Coturnix japonica: one gene and its partners. The protein of the gene in region 3 interacts with the protein of the main gene of each other region in a pairwise test. Links are inferred from orthologs where the notes say so. Each region holds a gene or a part of one and is shown on either strand. Other genes may lie near its edges.

Region 1 (4,374 bases), on a different chromosome or scaffold from region 3:
TGAAGTGCAGTAAGGAAGTCAGAAGCTAGGGGACTGTTTGAGGGCAGAAGTACATGCCATGGCTGCAGGGTTTAGACCTATCTGGGAGGTCTTATTTTGTCACGTAGGCACAGTGGTTATGTCAGGGAAGGAGGGTGATGCTTGTTTTGATTGCTGGGAGGCCCAAATGTGGGCACTTCAAAGACAAAGCAGTTACTTAACATGCTCAGCTGTGGATATTGATGTTTTTTGGGTTGTTCAGTTGTAACTGTTGATCTGTGCAGGTGCTGATAATAGTGCCCTTCCGGGAATGTGCTTTGCGAATTGTGCATATTTTCATCAGTCTTCTTGAAGTGAACGAGAAAAGAAAAATAGATGTAAGTAATAAGAAGCGCTTCAAAGGGGAGTTTGGTTCTGACCCAGACGAGAAGCCCCCCAACCTGAAAAGACCTGAAGATTATGAAGCCGTCTTCGCTGGCAACATTGATGACCACTTCAGAATTGGTAATGACCCACAGAACATGAGTTTTGCTTATAAAGAAGTGAGGGGTAATCTAACAGGTTCTTCCTTAATGTCTGGGAGCCATCGGGGCTGGTGAGAATTGGGGCTCTGAGGTATTTGTGCTGTGTCTGCAGTGGCATCATGAATACTTCTGAAAATATTCCATTCCTTGCCATTAAAAAATAGAAGAGAAAATATAAAAGTAAACATTTTCACTCCAAGTTCGGAGTCCCTTAAAATGCAGTGATTGCTTTATTGTGGCAGGGTTGCCCGCACCTCATTTGAAAGAGGATAATCTTGATTATGCAGCAAAATCACCCATGTTATGTAAAAAAAAGCAATAAAATCTCAGGTCAAGTTAGTGTATTCACGGTGTATCTTAAAATCAGTAACAGTGGAAACAAATTCAAGCTCAGTACTGAGCAAAGCAGTTTTCTACTGTATTGCCCATGGTTTTTATGAGCAGTAAGGAATGGACAGCAATTGGGACCATTGGACAAACAGCAAATGTACGACTTATTTTGTAGTAATTTCAAGCTGTTTTAGTAACTCAGTGTGCAAAGAATTAGTTTGGTTCCCGGAGCTGCCACAATGAGTAGGCAGTTTTTTTCTAACCTAACTTGACAGATAAGAGCTTCTTGAAATGATTGTCCCTTGAAAGATAAATTGGCATCCCAAGAGGTATAATGATAGTGTGGAAGGTGCAGGTCGTTCCCACTCAATCTTTCATGCTTCCCCAGTGAGTATCTGTCTTGCTGAGAACATCTTACATTTTGTAGCAAAATAATTTGCCTTGCAGTCCTCTCCTATAGCACAGTCTCCTCGATCCACTTACTGAGTGTGAAGAAATGCATGGGGGAACTTTGGGTGCTGTTACTTGCAGAAGCAAATCATAGAAGCAGCATAATTATTCCTTCCTAATGTGCTTTGCATCCTGTTACTTCAGCACTAAGATTGAATTCAGGGCATGTTTGTTATGCCTTACTAAAACCATCCTTTCCCATTTTTAAATCAAATACATTTAGAATTACCAAAATGTTTATATGCCGACATGTTTTGAGATAAGTGCTGTTTTCCTGGAAATTCAACCTTTTAATTATTTTATTATTGGGTTAAAATAGCCAGCAGGAGATGTCCCTATGGGTGCCTGTGTGAAATTCTTGACGTGCCTTCAGATGTGCTTATAGTCGCTGGCTTCAGGCAGACAGGGCAATAAGCTGAAAAGGCACCTGTGTTGGGCAGTGTGTAGTGGGTGGTTTGAATGTGGCCCAAATGGAGATTTTAAAATCAGAAAACTGTGTGTCCATATAGTTATAGGTAGCAATTTCCTCCTTTACTTTCTTGCTTTTCCTTTATCATCAGAAGTGATGCATGAGCTAGTTGACACTGCAACGTGTGTCTTGAGAAGCCAGCTAGCACCTTCCTGGTAGAATTTGCAGGGCTGTCTATGTTTTCTGCCTTTGTAACATGATCAACCTTGTCCTTGGTCTTTTAGTAGTGTCTCCTGTGGCCCTGTGAATGAAAGCAATCAGTGCTCAGGAGATCCACGCTAAATCTTTCATGACAGGTTGAAATAACTGTTACTACAGTAGATAATGACGTGGACCAAAGCCTAGAGGTGAGGGTGAAAAGGAGTAGTTAATCATTTCTACTGCTTTTTTTCATCTTTTTAGCCCCTCTTTCCTCTTATTTTTCTTTTTAACAGTAAATCAAGAGAAATGCATTTTGGCTCAATAATGTCATGCAAGCTATGAAAAAGCTGAGGAAAAAAAAGAACTGCTGGAAGAGTTCTAGCAATGAAAATCTGCCAAAGGCTTATGAAATGGAGGAAGGGTAGATAAGCACATTCTCAGGGAAGTTTCAGCTGGATTGGTTTTGTCCTGCTGTAATCACAAGCATGTGCTAAGGGAGAGGAAATGTAGGGAGTTACTGTTATGGAGTCTTCTGGAAGAAAATGGTTGGCCCTTAACTTTGACTAAGAACTGCTGTTTGTGTTCTGACAGGGGTTGCTATTCTACAAAAGAGCATGAGATTATATGCGCCGTTTTATTCATCAGACATCATTATTGCCTCTCCCCTGGGTATGAGGACTGTCATTGGCGCAGAGGGAGAGAAGAAGAGAGACTTCGATTTTCTGTCATCCATAGAGATGCTCATAATTGATCAGGCAGACATTTACCTAATGCAGAACTGGGAACATGTTCTGGTACGGTTTCCCTGTTTTTTTGTGTTGCACTGTGTCTTGTTCATCTAATTACAACTTACTGTTAGGAATGAATAGTTTTGCTGTTTTCTACTGACTTTATTCTAGACACTTGTTTGTTCATTTTCATCCACCAATATTTATTTTCCTTTTACTACAAATAATTTCCTTGCAGCTTTTGGTTGTATTCAGTACCTGTTCTCTGTAGATCTTAGAATTTGGATATTAGGAGGAAGTTAAGCACACAGAGGGTGGTGACACACTGGGGCAGGTTGCCCAAGGAGGCTGTGGTGCCCCATCACTGCAGGCATTCAGGGCCAGGCTGGATGTGGCTGTGGGCAGCCTGCTCTGGTGGCTGGTGACCCTACACGTAGCAGGGGGGTTGGAACTGGGTGATCATTGTGGTCCTTTCCAACCCAGGCCGTTCTATGACTCTGTGATACGGTGCATTACTATTGTATTTCATCGTAGTTTGGTTGTGAGGTTGGGTTTATTTTTTTATTGACTGGCTTTTTTTTTTTTTTCAGTGGCTTTTTATTTGACAACTATAATTATTTTGCAGGATTAGATGGTTATGATTCCTTTAGTCACCTCTGGGGGAAAATCTGCCAGTTGTCTGACTGCACCGTGTCTCAGATCACAGCTGTGTGAGGAGTTTGTCCAACCTCACTGAGGTTCTTCCAGAAAGCAGTGGGCACTGGTGCTTGTTGCCATTGACAGTAGAGCCGCCGAGCATTAGTCATGTCCTAATTGAAACAGACTTATCCTGCGTGTATAATGAATAAAGCTTTAGGATTGCCACCAGTATGTGGTAATGCCCATGTTTTATGGCCGCAGGTTAATAGAAGTTTTCAAGCTTGAAAGTTTGGAGTTGTTTTTGTTTGTGTATTTCATATAGAAACACCTTTGAGGAATCTGAACCTATCATTTTGGCAGCCTGGCATTACTGTACATTTTAAATGAGCCTGAAAGTGTCTTATTTCCTGGGGAGTCCTGGCAAAGGCTCATGAGCCTACACGATGCTCCTGGAGTGTCCTGGAGCCCATTTTCCATTTTTGTTTTTGTTTGAGTGCATTTGTCTGCTGTGCAGCAGCAGCAGTACCAGTCCTGGGCATTGCCAGGTTGCCCCTTCATGCATTAGGAGCAGCAGTTCAGCTGCTTCTAGCTCAGAAACCTTGGACCTGCTGACGTCAGTACATACAAACAGATCCATTAGGCTTCCCCCACGGGAGAGGATTAGAAGCAAAGGCTGCTGTTACTGATGGCTGAGGAGATGGCAGTTTTGAGTCCCGTGGAATGAAATTAGGTAAATTACTCTTGATGGGGTCAATAAATCCCAGGCAGTCATCTTGGGCAATCACTGCTGTTACATTCTGTGCTGTCTTGCTTATCCTTGTCCACTTTCTTGCTGCAGTTAAGGCTCTTTGCAGTCTGGATGCAATTATGTCAGTCTGCAGCAGTATGTTTCTGTCTCTGTGTAGCACCTGATGAAGCACATTAACCTGCTGCCTTTGGATTCCCATGGGGTAGACTTTTCCCGAGTGCGAATGCCAAACCTCAATAACTGGTCCAAGTACTACCGCCAGACGCTGCTGTTCAGTGCTCTTCAAGATCCCCAGATTAATGCTATCTTCAACAAACACTGCTTCAATTACATGGGGCAGGTGAGTTCATGTCAAAGCTGAGGCCG
Region 2 (5,261 bases), on a different chromosome or scaffold from region 3:
GGACAGTACAATTTTACTATGTTTATTTTGTCTACTTGAAAAGCTTTTTTTAATGCATTTCCCTCTAAAATGGTAACCCCGTGTATTTATGTATGTTAACATGCAAACCGCTGTTTCATCAGCTGGCCCTTCCTGAAAACTATCTGACTTTGTTTTCTACAGAAATAAATAAAAGTATCTGGGTTGTTTGTTAAGGGCATTCTTTGTGCAGCTGGGTGCCTGTGTGTGATTTAGCTGAGCCAAAACCTCCATCATAGAGCTGAACACACCAGGTGAGATGAAGCAGGAGATGGATCTTGTGATGGGACTTGCTTTCCCCCTTGGGCAGCACAGAGCTATCCCCACCTCTTTGCTTTTCCTCTCACCTTAAAGCTGTTCTGGAGTCACTGGTCCCAGAGATCCCCTGTTTATCATGGGCCTCCCACACTGACCGTTGTGATGAATGAAGATGCTAAGGAGCAACACCCTCATGAGTTTGCTGGGCCCATTCTTTGCTCAGTCTCTAAATGAGACATTTACTTGCAGGTATTTATTTCCTTTCAACATAAACAAGTGTCCTGATGTGCTGTTCTAAAGGGTGGGAGCCTGCTTGGTCCTTGGCTCTGAGCACTCATCAGCTGTGGGCTGAAGGAAGGAAGCAGATGGGTGTAAATGACGCGCTGTTCCCTCCAGCTGCACCAGTGGCAGTTCAGCATCTTCCTGCAATGCTTTCCAGGTAGAGGATTGCTGATCCTGCTGCAGCTCTGAGCATCTCCTGTCAGTGCTGGCTGTGTGCTACGGAAAGCAGGTGAGATAATGTCTCCTGAGCTCACCTGGAAGAGTCCCTGCCTTCATTCACAGATCGGTCTGACTTCATTCCTGCTGATGCTGGATCTGCTTTGAAGCTGTTCCTGAACTGGGAGACCTCCTTTATGCCTGCGCTGGGGCCCCTGGGAACACCCAGAGTGGCACACACGAGGGCAAAGCCTCCATCTCTGAGGGGCTGAGCCACAGCATCCTGCACATCTCTGCTCCCTCCCCATTGCCATGACCTGCTGGCAAGTCATTCCCCTCCTTGCTGGCCTGGTTGGCACAGAGTGCTCTGTGCCTGGCCCTGCATGTCAGAGGGGCTCCCAACCATGCATCGTGCTCACTGAGCCTTGCTGGACTTCTCTCTCCAGCCCTGGAGCAGCTGCCCTACCTGCTGCCTGCCTTCCCCTTCCCCTCCTGCTGGGCACATCAGCTCCGTGCTGAGGTTGATGTACTGATACAAGGGGCGCAGACGTGGCAGCCGGCCTGGAGGGGAATCACAGAACGGTTTAGGCTGGAAGGGACCTGAAAGATGACGGAGCTCCGACCTGCTGCCCTGTTCCCTATGGGTGCTCACCCAGCGCGTCCCGAGGTGGGACCTTTTTGCACGGCTGCGTGTTGCTCGTGCTTTTCCTCTTCTTGCTCTTTCCCTGCGGCTCGGCAGCGGGGTTGGCATCGCCCTCAGCAGCGGGGGGCTGCAAACCGGGGTCCTGCAGCACCTGCAGGTGAGTCCTGCGGGACAGGGATGTGCTGCAGGCCATGGCCAGCGCTGCGCCGTGCGGCTCAACACGGCGGTCGGTGCAGCACGAAGCCGGCTCCCGAAGGGGACGGGCCGCCTCACTTTGCGTCCTGCGTTGGGGCGGACATGGAGCAGCGCCGGGATCCGACAGCGGCCGGGAGGAGGCTGCGGGATGGACGGGGGGGCGTTACCGGGGGAACGCAGCAACAGCGCGGCACTAAGCCCGGCCCGTAGCGGGGCCGATCCGAGCCGCCCATCGTGCCCACACCTCCGTGCAGGCGGGGCTCAGCCCGGCACGGCCCCAACATCCCCCCCCGGCGGAAGCGGCGGTTGCCCGGAGCGCGGTGGGTGCGTGCGGTGCGGCCGGAGCCCGGCGGGTGCCTCCATCCTCCCCCATCCCATCCCATCACATCCATCCCATCCCATCCCGTCCCGTCCCCCCGCAGCGGTTCTGACCCGGTTCCTTCCGCCCATAACGGTAGGGAAGGAGCCAACGGCCCAATTGCCACGAGCGCTTTGCTCGGCCCCGGCTGTCTCGCTCTGCTGCTCGCAGCTCCTATCGCAGCTCTTATCGCAGCTCTTATCGCAGTTTATCCACAGATGGATTCATTTATTCCTTTGTTCCCCCCGTGCTTTTTGCAGAACCGGGCTCGGAGCAGCACAAAGCCGAACAACGCAGCTCCAGCTCCGCATGAGGTCGCAGCTCCCCGGCCGGGCTCGCAGCTCCGGTGGGTGGCACCGAGCTGTGCTGGAAGAGGAACGGCCGGGAGGAGCGAACTGCGGGCAGCTCAGTTTCCCTGCCCCCCCTGCAGCCCGGGTGAGCAGGAGCTGCTCACGTACATCTGTTTGCTGCTGGCAACAGCTGCTTTTGATGCTCAGGTTTCTAACACAGCTTTACAGATGCTTTCCTAGGTGCATATTAGGGCTGGCCTTGCTCCACCTGTAGCCACGTGCTCCTGCTGCTCTCCTCCTGCTTGCACGGTGCATCTCTGGTTCCTGCGTGGGGTTGCAGCTGGGTGGGATGCAGCCTGCTCAGCCCTCAGCTTCCAAACAGCCCCATCCTCCAGCCCTGCTGTCCCACCGATAGGAGCAAAGCAGCCACCTGCAAATCCTGCTCTAGGGAGCTGTAGGTTTGGATGCTTCATCCTAAGGCCAGATGATGATGATGATGCTGGGGATGCTGGGGGCTGTTGTCCCACATGGGAGGGTTTGCTGTGAGCACCCAGATAGGCAAAGCACTGTCATAGTGCTGTGTGATCTTGTGAGATCCAAAGCCAGAGGCAGCGTGACTTGTAAATCAGGGTGTGGGTGTCATCTGCAGGCTGCCTGCAGCAGGGCAGGGTGCCACTGGGATGTGGGCCCTGTGTTCAGGTACAGGAGGAGCCTTCCATCCCCCACCTCCCATCCCATCTGCCTGCCTTTCCCCCTCCAGCCCCCCCTGCTCTAATTGCCTGCTCTGTTACAGGGCCTGCTTTCACTCTGTCATTTTGCACCTAAATTACTGGCGTTGGAGGAGAGTTCAGACCGAGATCAGATGTGAGTCTCAAGGCCAGTAACTATCCCGGAGTCATCTCTTGGAGGATGCTTTTGTTCTTGGTATAAGAGAGTCCATTCTGGCTTAGCTCTGTCCATTTTAAATGGGATTAAATAAGAAGAGAATGGTGCTGTTTTACTGCAGCCTGAGACTCTGAAGCATTTCAGGAGTAGCCTTTGCAGGATGACTGGGTACAAAGCAGCCTCTGGACATGCCTGCTGGTGTGCAGTGCTTGCACTGCTTGCGTTGCCTCTGCAGTTGTGTCTGGGAGATGAATAATAGCTTTTTGCTAATGGGTCTCATGTCAACAAGGGTAATTGAACAGGGAAGACAGCAGTGCATTAGTTGCTATGAGTCAGGCTCGCTCAGCCTTGCACTGGTTGTTTATTGGTTTCTAAATGAAATGGGAGATGCTGTGTCCTGTCAGTGCTGGAATGCTGAGGATCCTAAAAGGGGCTCTTCCCATAGGGCTGAATCTGTTGGTATTGCAGACCCAGGAGTCAGATTTTCTGTGCTGAAGCTGTAGGCAGACATTGAGGATCAGTGCTGGTCAGTCCTGCAGTAGGGGTGGTGCTGCTGGATCCTTTGCCTTACCTACATGAAATCACAGCACGGTTGAGTTACAAGGGACCTCAAAGCCCACCCAGCCCCAAGCCCTGTTGGAGGCTGGTTGCTCCCCAGCTCAGGCTGCCCAGGGTCCATCCATAGCCTGGGGCACCTGCAGGGATGGGCACCCACAGCACTGGGCAGCCATGGGGTCCATTTGGGGTTGTTTCCTACTTGCAGGTTGTCCCTGCAGTTGGATATGAGCTCTCTGACATTAGCTGCAGCTCTGCAGTGGCTCCGTGAGCTGTGTTTAGTTCACCTCTCACTCATGGTCGGTTTCCATTGCAGAGACAGCAGAATGTGTGAAGGGCCATCCAAGATTTCTGGGCCCATCCCTCCAGACCCTACGGTCTTCCCAGACTATTACAGACGCCCTTTCTCAGGTGAGTCCTTGGGTGCTTATAAGAAGGGAAAACATGAGGCAGAGGTGCAGGGGGACCTTTGGCATCACTTGCTTGAAGAAAGCAGTGATGTGAGATGGTGCCAACCTGCTTTTTGTTTCTTTCTTTCTCTGTAGCTCGGGGGAGGCTGGAAGGCAATGCTCAGCGGTTGGATTTTACCTCTCACCCCACGGATTCAGCTCCCAGCTCAGCCCGTGCTTTGAGCAGTGCCCAGCAGCCCCAACCAGCCCCTCGCATCCGCCCCAGCGGGAGGGACTACTTGGAGAAGGGGCAGAAGGGAACGCTCGGCCTCCTGCTGCAGCTCGATGGGCTCTCTCTTGGTGGGGGTCTGCCAGCAAAGAGTAAGTGCTGCCTGGCTCTTATTGGCTTTGTATCCTGGCATTGCCCCAGGCTCTGGATGGTGCCAGTGTGGTGGTTGCCACAACCACTGTGCCAAAACTGGAAGGGAACCAGCTGAGGTCTTCCAAAAACAGGGTCAGCCCTCCCAGCATGGGGGGCAGAATGCACAGATTGTGTGGTCTTTGGTGGGGGGAGGACTTGCTGTTTCCACGGGTGGATTTAGAGATGGAGCTGTCAGCTCTGGTGTTGTGATCCAGGAGCCTACGTCTGCTGGCAGTGTTTGAGGGCTGAAAGCTGTGTCTCCCCTCGCTGTGCAGGGAAAGAGTCCAAGGACCATGAGAAGGAAAACGTGAGGAGAATAAAGGAGATTCAGAAGAAGTGCAAAGAGAGGGAGCGAGCCCAGGAGCGCAGCCAGCCCAAACCTGTGAAAGCTCTATGGAAATCCCAGAAATATGAGAACGTGGAGTCGAAGGTGAAGGCCAGACTGCAGGTGTGTGCCCAGGGGGCTCTTCAACTCTCCTGGCGGGTCAGAAGAATAAAATCCCATCACCCGTTCTGCCTGCTGCCTCCTGTCGTAGCAATCTGAGGGCAGTTCTTGGCGTGGTGCAGAGCAGCCCTCAGCTTATCCCTGTCCTGAGGTGCAGCCACTTGGCTTCTCAGCTTTCCACGTCTGGGGCTCGTGCCAAGAGCCAGTGGTGTTGTGCCCCACAGATCCTTATCCTCACCCTTTCTGCATGGCACCGGGGCAGATAAGAAGAGATTCAGGCTGTTCCAGGCTTCGTGCCAGCTCTCAGGACCCTGTGGACACGCAGTTGGGTTTTACCAACTGTGTACTGAGCTGGAACAGGCACAG
Region 3 (5,086 bases):
CAGGCCCATGTTGTTAAACTAAATCCCTGGTTCTGACAGTCCCTAGTGTTACTCCTGCCAAGGCCAACCTCTGCTTTTCAGAAGATGCCAGGACACAACACAGGGGGTGGTACTGGCCAAACACGCTTCCCTAGAGACTGTGTGGGCAGGGCTACTCAGCTGAAGGGAAGGGCAGGTCATGTCACCTGTGTGGATGTGGAGCACCCAAGGACATTTAATCTTGTGGCTAGGCAGTGAGCATAGGTACCCATGTCAACATGTCTGTTGTTCCTATCTTTTTGCTGACTCTGAGTAGTACTGTGGTTTCTCTTCGTCTTCTCCATTTTTCCCTCTAATACTGTTAATAAGCCAACAGAAGGCTTGTCCATTCAGTAAGTAACCTGTGTACACACAGAAACCCATAGCGTTCTACAGTGAGGCACAATCTGAGAAGGGTGGATTCTTCAACAGCCTACCAATGGGTTTTGTGCATAAGGTTTTGAAACTGCAGTACTTTCATCCCCTTCATTCATCTTTCTGAGAATCATTTGCCAAACCTTTCCAAATGTTTTCTTGTTTTGAGAAGCAATTGCAGGTGCCTTAGGATTTGGAAGTAAAAACATAAATATAACGTAATAAAAATACCTTTGGAAAATGCTTCCTTGAAGTCTGCTCCTCAAGTAGTGTTCTGTTGTCAGTTTGTGGAGTGCCTGTGAGTGTGTTGTGATAGTTTAGCAACAAATGTTGCTAAGTGACTGGATGTTCCGAGGTTAAAATGAAATGTAGCCTTTGACAATTTAAAACAAGAGGAAGTTTTTATTGTTACTGTAAAACACAAAAACATACAAAATATATGCAAAAGAGTTAATAAAGCAATAAAATTGAGGTATAATAGATAATTTGCATGCATCAGCAAACAGTTACTTGAATTCTTTGCTATATGTAACAGCAGAGTGGAAATTGCTGTGGGAATGCAGAATAACTTTCTAAAATTAAAGAACTTTTAATGTGTTGACATTTAAGTAATTAAAATCTCAACTTCAATGTTTCATTAACATTAGTATCCGTTCCCTTGGTTTTGTGCTTTGAGACTGCTGCTCAGTTATATACAGCAGGATCACTTGTTCTCCAGTGATTGGTATCAACAAAAAGCAGATGCTGAAACATTCACTTATTGCAGGGATGTAGGTCTCACTATGCAATGCTCCTTTAATCCAAATAGCAGATCTGGTATTAAGCTAGATTCGTTGGAGTTATTCAATGGTCAAGAAAATTTGGAGTTGATCAGATGAAGAACCTATTTGGTTAGAGATGTTGTCTGCAAAAGGTGTCACTGCAATAAAAATGCTTACATAAAAACCTGCTTGTATTTAAAACACAAATCTATTGACGCCAGCATCATTAAATTCTCTTACTAAAATTCTTTCACGTATTGCATTTCTCCCTCCCTGTTCTCCCTCAATAGGCAGCGTTCCCATTATGCAGGTTTCCCAAAGCACTTTCAGGTTTAATCCCATTTCCACATGGACTCTTCTCAAACCCATGCATGCATGCGGCGCTTCTTTCTCCATAGACGGGGAATACCGCTCCTCGCCAGCCTGGGCAGCACTCCAGGGCTAACCCCTCCAAAAGAAAACAACTTTTTCCCGTGCGTGGGAGGACAGGCCGGCTAGACGCCAGCTGTGTCCGCACACCCCCTGCAGACCTCGGCCCTGCGCCGCCTCTCCCTCCCGCACGGCGGCGCCTGCCGTCCTGCATCGCCTGGCCCGAGTCGCGAGCCACCCCCGCAGCTGTGCCGTGCCGTGCCGTGCCGTGCCGCTGGGCTCCGCCCTCGGACCGTGGCCCCGCCGCCAGCCCTTGCACGTTGCGCGCTCGCGGTGGTGGCGAGTTCGGCTCTCCTCCTCCTGCGGCCGCAGCTCCGGGGCTTTGTTGTGAAGGCTGCACGCCGGCAGCGTGCCCGCGGGGGAGGAGCGCGCAGGTAACGGGGCTGGCGGGGCGCTTCCTTCGGCTGCTCCGCGCCGCTCGGGTTCCAGCTCGGCCCCTCTCCCGCGGCGGGGCCCCGTGCTCTGCCCGCAGCTTCCCCGCCCCCTCGGCCCTCCCCGCCTCCCTCCGGGCCTGCTCCGTCGCCGGGCAGCGGCTGTGCGAGCCAAGGGCGCCCGGTGTCGGAGTAAGCGCTTGTCGTTGTTCCCCTTATGGCAGGGAAAGTGGGATGCGAGTTGGCCGCGCGGGGGTACGCGGCTCGGAGTGCGAAATGGTGTCAGCTCGGTGGGAGAGGGCACCATGGGCAGCTGCTCCTCCGGGGGGAAGAAATCACGGGGGGAGCTCAGGGTGTAGCCCGCCCGCGCAAAGCGGGGAGGTCAGAGCTGAGTGTTGAGAGTCAACCAAGAATAGGCTGCGGGCAGCACTCGGAGTTGTAATGCATTGAATCGAGAGGGAAAATAAATCAAAAACAAAAACCCCAGACACTAAGAAATGCCAAAGTAAAGTTAATGCTTCTGTTTTGAAAATTTATCACTTAAGAAAACATCTTTAAGGCGTTCTCATCCGTTTTGTACTTCAAGTAAGTTTTATACGAGCCTGTTTCCTTGATGGTGGTGTAAAGGTGTTTCGTTTGAAGCAAGGAACGATATTTTTTGAATGTGAGCAGTTTGCAGGATTGCTTCTGTCCTGGAGGACGTTTCACTTTGGCATTGCGCACCCTGGGATCGACCGTTTTTCTTTTCTTTGTTCATTTTAACACGTGCTGTCGCTGGCTTAAATATTTTGTAAACTGTTAGGGAAAGTTAAAAGGAAGTGTAAATTGTTAAGATAAACATGCTGTGTGAAGTGGCTGGCCGGTCTGTTCTTAGTTTTGTTTTGTTTGCATAACAAAAGGTAGCCATGCACAATGAGGCCCTCCAGCCATTAGGCAGAGGTGTGAAGCTGAACCGTGCACACAGGCAGTTCCGCGAGCGTGGTGGCACGAAGCAGCTCTTCTGCCCATCACCGATTTCATTCTCTTGTAAGTGATACATTTGCCTTACCTGTCCAGCTGAGGATAAGTGACTGCAGCTCTAGGTGCAGTATAGCAAGTGAATGGAAGGGCTAAGCATTAACAATCACGTACCATATTTCAGAAGTTGCAGCTTCTGCTGCAGGTTTGGGGGAAGAAGGTGGAGCTGTAAAGCTGCGCTGCATCTGAACAGCGACAGCATTACCGAAGAGACTGCTGTCCTTCCAGAACTTTACTTGCCTGAGCCAAGAACATACAGGAGCAGAGCACCCATCTGACCTCCTGCCCTTTTCTTACTTGTTTTGTCTAGTTTATTATAAATAATAATAATTTAAAAAAAAACAGTTTGAGGGGTAGTAAGCCTCAAACCAACCTAGCGGATCTCGTGGTCAAGAAGGTGATATAGTCTCTTATACTTAACGAGCAGCTCCTTATTGTGTACATTTCTGTCTACCATTCTTATAATTGTTGAAGTTTTTCATGCAGCAACACCATATTTGTTATTATAGCCCGTTTCTCATTCCCGTCACAGTCTGCAATGAGAACAACTCTTTCTGCCACTATAGTGGGTAGAAAATGAAACTTCAAAAAATATTCATCTGCAGTTTTCAGAACTAACTAGACTTCTTGATGGTGGCTTTTAACATAGATTTTTATGTGTCTGGTAAAGACAGGTTGCATGTATGTTTCTGTGGATTACAGAGTAGGGAAGGGATTGAATGGTGGAGTCCCCAAGTGGACATTCAACTTAACGTCATAAGAAGATCTAGCATCTGGTTTCCTCTTTTGAGTCTGCCATGTAACACAGCAGTAACACGATTTTAACAAGTCAAAAAATAAAAACAAGTCAGCCTGTAGGCAGGCAGATATGCTTTTGTTGTTGTTTTGTTTAGGCAATTCTTAAAAAGAAAGTGTTCCTGTGTGTATGGGAATCCATTCAGAGTGAGAGTGCAGCTGACAATATTGGTATGTGTCAGCCTGTTGGGAAGTCCTGTAACAAAAAGGAGTCTTGTAAAGATATTAAAGAAGGAGCATTGGTACCCATAGGGCACAGTTTTTAAGGAGTTGTCTAAAGAAAAAAGTGACAAAATGACATTGTGACAAAGTGACATTGACAAAATGAGTCAACATTGTTGTTAAAATTTATGCTATAAGTTCACGTTGACAGACATAATTCTGTTGGCAACTTTTTATATAGTTAAAATTATCAATATGTATGTGGATCTCAATTTTAGCAGGGAATAAATTTCATGACATGGGTTCATAATCTCATTTTCTTATTAGAAAGAAGCCTGCATCTATGACATCGTTTTGCTAGAGTAGCAAATCAAAGGATAAATACAACTTGTCTTCAAGCAAGTGGCAAAACTTCCACTAGTTACAAGAAAATAGGATTATGTTGCAGGTGTGGCAGAAGTAATTGGTAATGACTTCAGCTCCTGGAGGGGCATTAATTCTTGCACCTGAAATCCATAGTAAATTGAGTTAAGGAGATCCACATAACATGCTGGTAGACAAATGTTATCCTTTCTGTGCTTTTATGTAAATCTGTTGAGGATAGAATTTGATCTTTAAGTTACACATTCATTTAAGTAGTAATATTTCTGCCAGCTATGCTCTAATTTAAATGTTAAGTGTGAAATAAATTAGAAAAATCTAATCTGCCTCAGTAGAGTAATACTGGGACAAAGAAAGATTAAAATGTTTGGTTATCGATTAGTTCTTTGGAGGAAGGGGGTGGCAGTTCCTGTTGGAATTAATGGAAGGATGGCACAGTTGTGTGGGAATATAAACTGGAGATGCTGTTATGTTCTGCCATGAGGAAGCTAAATAAGGGATCGAGGGTTTTTGCACTTGAAGCCAAGAGATGGAATTTTTAATGGTCTTTTTTAAATGTACAAATCCAGTGATGTACATTGATTTGTATTTTAGTTTATAAATAATAATGTCCTCTTGAAAAGAGGAGGTTAAGTACCAAAGAACTGTTTTGTGGTTGGGATATATGTATGGACTTCACTTTGTGAGACCAAACCCACAGTTTCTGTTGTTAACCATGAATCTAAAAAATGGTACTGGGTTGGCTTGGATTGGCTTGGGGAAAGGGAATAGGGCATG
Region 4 (4,554 bases), on a different chromosome or scaffold from region 3:
ACTTGGAGGAAAAAAGAATGCAAGAGGAAGACAGAGCGATGAAAGCATTTCAGTCCGGAGAACACGCAGCTCTGTCCATTAAAGATCTGCTGCAGAAACTCGACAGGCCTGACCAGAATATCCTCTACTACATGGGAGGGATCCAGGTTCTGACAGGAGCCATAAAGGAGTGTGAGTGTGTGATGCAAACCTTGTTTCTGTGGGGGTTTGTAACCTGGGAGGATGAATATGACTGCAATAGTTTTTGAAAGACCAAAAACCTATTCCTGTTTTAAAAAAAAAATACAACAAATGGTGTTTGCTATTTCAGCGTTTATGTACAGTGGATGTTTCCATGTTTCTTTTTATAGCTAAACCAATTCTGTAGCTGAGCTGTTGATACTTCTTAAGGATTTGGTCATGTCATAGAACTATAGAATGGCTCAGGTTGGAGAGGACCTCAAAGCCCACCCAGTGCCACCCCCAGCCATGGGCAGGGCTGCCCCCACCAGCTCAGGCTGCCCAGGGCCCCATCCCACCTGGCCTTGAGTGCCTGCAGGGATGGGGCACCCACAGCTCTCTGGGCAGCAGTGCCAGCGCCTCACCGCCCTCTGAGGAAAGGATTGTTTCCTCATATTTAACCCACAGCTCCCCTCTTTCACTTTAAAGCCATTCCTCCTTGTCCTGTCACTATAATTTAAGAGGTCTCAAATTACTTTTGAAAAGTTAGCAGTTCTCTGTTGAAGAACAATGATTTGCAAGGCCAGTCTCCTGTTTAAGTCCTCATAAAAACTCTTGAAAATGAAGTCAATCATTCTCCACTGCACCAGGCATCAATTAGAGTGGTCTTCCACTTCAAAGCTGTTTCTGCTTCAAGCGCTCTTGAAGTTTTTCCCCTCTTTTCACAATGCAAACCTCCTTTCCCCAAAGCTGTTGATCCAGTGACCTTTTCCTTCAACGCTGTGTTGCAGCAGAGCAGGTGTCTGCCTTCATCATGGTGAGTCGGCCAGATGGCTCACGGAGCTGACTTGTTTCTCTCTGCCTCTTTTCAGGCACTGAGCAAACTTTATTTAGAACAAACAATGGGTTCAGTATCATCAATGACAACAAGGTCATAAGACGGTAAGAGAAGTTCCAGAAGAGAACAGTAGCACGTTATAGCATGAGGAAGTGACTATGTTGTTTTCAAGAAACTCAATCGCCTCACGAAATGCAGATGATCACAAGATAAGGGAATAACTGGTTGTAATGTCTGAATAGACTGACTTGTATTTGACCCAAACAAATAGGACTCTCTTGGATTCAGTGGACTCATGAGTTTCTGCTCCTGTCTCTGATCTCCTATTTCTGTGCGGTTCCCCTATCTCTAACGGTGAGAGCAAAGCTGGTAAAGCTTACTGTAAGAAAACAGCTGATGTAAAAGTGTAGTTGCCTTAAGTGTGTCTGGCTGGGCATCAGTAAATGTCTCACCTCAGCTCTGCAATGCAACATGTAAAACTCTTCAGTCCTGTAACTGAGGAGGAGGATTCCCTCTGGGACCTGTGTTCTCTGCTGCTGTGTGTTCTGGGCAACCATTAGATGGTGTTTTGGTAACCAAGACACAAATCCAGTTCAATTGCTTTCTAAGCTTTGTCCCGTGAGGGATCTCTTGCCTGGTAGATGACAGACACAAGCAAGATCCACAGAAAAGATGTGATCTGAAAATTTGGTACAACTAAGTTGGTTCAGAACAGTGTGATCTGGTTGGAAAAGGGAAGAGTTGTTTGCTGCTGCTGTGTCCTCCTAGATTTGCACCATGCTCTCACGTCCTGGCTCAGCACAGTCATGTCAGTGCAGAACTGAATGCACCACTTGTGCTGCTTACTGACTGCAGGAGCTCTGTGTGTGCTCAGGGGGTGGTGTAGGTTCAGTAGAACATCAGTCTGGCATTGGAGGAGATTGTCTGGAAAGCAGGTCTGGTTCAACGTCTGAAAATGTTTAACTAATGAGCTGTTGCTAGAGCTGACGAGCTTATGTGCTTGTATGGCAGATCCTCATTGCTGTGAGGCTTTCCCAATGTCCCCAGCCAAAGATCTAACCCTCATTGTTTCATCTGCCTTGGGTTCCTTTTGCAAGCTAACATTTCTCATTTAGGAGCTTCTGTGCAGAAAGAAAGAGCGCTGCTGAAGTGGATCTCTGTGTTTGTCTTCTCTCCCTTTGGCAAGCTGTCTGCGCTGGGAATGGTAAAGATGTGATCAACATTAATAATTGTTCATGGTAATATGGCACAGTCTGGGTTTAGAGTTGTTTTTTGGTACAAGCATTGCTTTCCCAGAGCACTTGGGTCTAGGCCTTGCTGTCAGCAAAGCTTTTTGGGGGTTGAAGCACTGCTGGGTAGTGCTTCAGAACAGGGCTGAGTTTCCAGCCCTGTGCACATCTTATATATGCTAAAGGGGCTGGAAGTCAATTCCCTGTGATTATTGCTGGCTCTTAAGATCACATTTGTTTTGTCTTTTTTAAGCAGTTCTACCTGTAAAAAGCAGAAGTGCTGTTAGAGAAGGGTGGATTCCTTTGGCATCACCATTAAGGCGTTGGTTTTCTGAGGTCTGCAGGGAGGTCAGGAGTGGGATGGAGTGGTGAAGTGGTGCAAACTGCCACAAGGAAAAGAGGGCTTGGTGCCTGCACCTCTGTTGACTTGTGTGTTGCTGGGTCCAGTGGATGCACAAGGAAGTGTGTAGTTAGTGAGAGCAGGAGTGACGGTTGGGATTTCATCACTTGTGACGCTGTGCTTAGATTCCCTCTTTTTTCAGAAGAAAACCAGCGGCTGCTGTTAACTCACCCTGATGTGAATGCACAGCTGTTGGAACTGCTGTGTTCCGGTGTATTGGAGATCCAAAAGGAGACACTGGCACTAATTGCTCTCTATTCAGATAATGAGAATGGGAGGAGACTGTTGGTCAAGCACCAGGACCTATCCAGGTAACAAAGGCAACTATTATTTGGTAAGACTCCCTTAACCCTGGGCTTGCAGAGGTCCAAAGCTCACTCCACTAGCATCAAGCAGAGCAGCAGGTGGGTGACAGGCTTCTGAAAGGGACGTGGTGATGTTGAGACCTAAGCCAAGGTGAGCAGAAGTGGAAGTGAGGTGCATGGGGAAAACAAACTTTGTTCCTGGAGATGTCTGTGAAGATAAGCAGGAGGCACTTTCTGAAGAGGTTTAACTTTGAAGTATAGTTATGGGTTTATAACCAGTAAGGCTGTGTCCCTCGCATTCCAGTAAGAGCTTACATTGTTGCCCCTTGATAGCTCATGCTTTCAAGCAGCTGCTCTCTCCTCATCTGGCTAAGTGGAGAATAAAAAGCCTATTAGCTCTTAGCTCTTGTCCTGCCATTTCCTTCATAGAATGGTTTGGGTTGGAAGAGCTCTTTAAGATCACCTAATTCCAACCCCCTGCTATAGGCAGGGACACCTCCCCCTAGGCCAGGTTGCTCACAGCCCCATCCAGTCTGGCCTTGAATGCTTCCAGGGAGGGGACATTCACAACCCCACTGGGCAACCTGCTCCAGTGTCTTACCAACCTCACAGTAAAGAATTTCTTCCCTATATCTAGTCTAAATCTACCCTCTTCCAAGTTTAAAACCATTCCCCAGTTAACCTGTTGAGCAGAGGAGAAAATTTTAATGTGCTACTTTGCAATAAGAGGTTTAAACTGGTTGATAAACAGTACAGATTCTCCAACGGATGTACAGACTTCACTGTGTTACATGCAATGTTCATCCCAAGACCTGTAAAGCTTTTTAGTTAAAACACCCACTCACCCCCCAGGACTGTGGGGTTTGCTCAGCACGTCCTTCTAAAGCACACAGTCATCACAGTGATCTTCCCTGCAAATGTCTTTAATAATTCGGCCAAAGCTGACATATAGTTTTTTTTGTCTCTTTATGTATTAATAACAGATGGCTGCAGATATTGATGATGTTCGTCAACAGCGCTGATGCCAGGGCTGGCAGTGCCATGAGTGTCCTGTCAGATTTAATTCAAGAAGAAAAGTAACTAGCACTTTTTCATTATTTTTTTAAATCAGTTACAGTAGTAAATACTAAATGACCTTGTGATAGAGGCTGCCAGCCTTCTTTGCCATTTTGCCCTCTTTACTCAGTTTACCTTCTGTGTATGTTGCTGTTCTGTTGCTTTTCTCTGTTTGGTTGTTGTTGTTGTTGTTGTGCTAAAGCTCTAACTGTCCAAACATGGCTTTCTTTATCCTCAACAGGTTCAAAGCACAGTGTCGCCTCATGTTTTCCACATCTGTTTTACCATTGTTCACCCAACTGCTGGTATGAAAGGTCTTAATTCTGTGTTTCCAACATGTTCTTCTTTAACGTGTCTCATGACAACTGCTTCCAGTATTGAAAGGGACTGTAAGAAGAAAGGAGACAGACTCCTTGGGGGGTTCTGTTGTGATAGGAGAAGGGGAAATGGCTTCAGACTACAAAAGGGGAGATTGAGACTGGAGATAAGGAAGAAGGTTTGGTACTGAGGGCTGTGAGGCACTGGCACAGGTTGCCCAGAGAGGCGGTGGTGCCCCGTCCCTGCACA

The links.
Region 1: the proteins of MIPOL1 (region 3) and UTP25 interact in binary tests that used the Homo sapiens proteins (3 or more experiments, as listed by UniProt). The link is inferred for Coturnix japonica from reciprocal best matches to the Homo sapiens genes MIPOL1 and UTP25.
Region 2: the proteins of MIPOL1 (region 3) and ENKD1 interact in binary tests that used the Homo sapiens proteins (3 or more experiments, as listed by UniProt). The two-hybrid records come from large-scale screens. The link is inferred for Coturnix japonica from reciprocal best matches to the Homo sapiens genes MIPOL1 and ENKD1.
Region 4: the proteins of MIPOL1 (region 3) and TTC12 interact in binary tests that used the Homo sapiens proteins (3 or more experiments, as listed by UniProt). The two-hybrid records come from large-scale screens. The link is inferred for Coturnix japonica from reciprocal best matches to the Homo sapiens genes MIPOL1 and TTC12.

The regions. Positions count from the first base shown.
Region 1 is NC_029518.1:20,182,473-20,186,846, reverse strand, and holds part of UTP25 (digestive organ expansion factor homolog), read left to right. Parts: intron 1-263; coding exon 264-483; intron 484-2,484; coding exon 2,485-2,687; intron 2,688-4,165; coding exon 4,166-4,348; intron 4,349-4,374. UniProt on the Homo sapiens protein: Component of the ribosomal small subunit processome for the biogenesis of ribosomes, functions in pre-ribosomal RNA (pre-rRNA) processing. Essential for embryonic development in part through the regulation of p53 pathway.
Region 2 is NC_029526.1:1,872,992-1,878,252, reverse strand, and holds the start of ENKD1 (enkurin domain-containing protein 1), read left to right. Parts: upstream 1-2,193; 5' UTR 2,194-2,219; coding exon 2,220-2,345; coding exon of another isoform or gene 2,346-2,407; intron 2,408-2,420; exon of another isoform or gene 2,421-2,440; intron 2,441-2,463; exon of another isoform or gene 2,464-2,993; coding exon 2,994-3,064; exon of another isoform or gene 3,065-3,124; intron 3,125-3,956; coding exon 3,957-4,051; intron 4,052-4,185; coding exon 4,186-4,410; intron 4,411-4,725; coding exon 4,726-4,898; intron 4,899-5,261. Other genes in the region: uncharacterized protein LOC116653968, read right to left, coding at 571-774, 1,181-1,275, 1,367-1,693, 1,797-1,836. UniProt on the Homo sapiens protein: Microtubule-binding protein which regulates microtubule organization and stability. Promotes the stability of astral microtubules and facilitates the proper orientation of the mitotic spindle.
Region 3 is NC_029520.1:33,520,929-33,526,014, forward strand, and holds the start of MIPOL1 (mirror-image polydactyly gene 1 protein), read left to right. Parts: upstream 1-1,849; 5' UTR 1,850-1,957; intron 1,958-2,079; exon of another isoform or gene 2,080-2,146; intron 2,147-2,889; exon of another isoform or gene 2,890-2,980; intron 2,981-5,086.
Region 4 is NC_029539.1:5,037,345-5,041,898, reverse strand, and holds part of TTC12 (tetratricopeptide repeat protein 12), read left to right. Parts: coding exon 1-171; intron 172-1,031; coding exon 1,032-1,101; intron 1,102-2,112; coding exon 2,113-2,201; intron 2,202-2,768; coding exon of another isoform or gene 2,769-2,771; coding exon 2,772-2,937; intron 2,938-3,914; coding exon 3,915-4,007; intron 4,008-4,228; coding exon 4,229-4,292; intron 4,293-4,554. UniProt on the Homo sapiens protein: Cytoplasmic protein that plays a role in the proper assembly of dynein arm complexes in motile cilia in both respiratory cells and sperm flagella.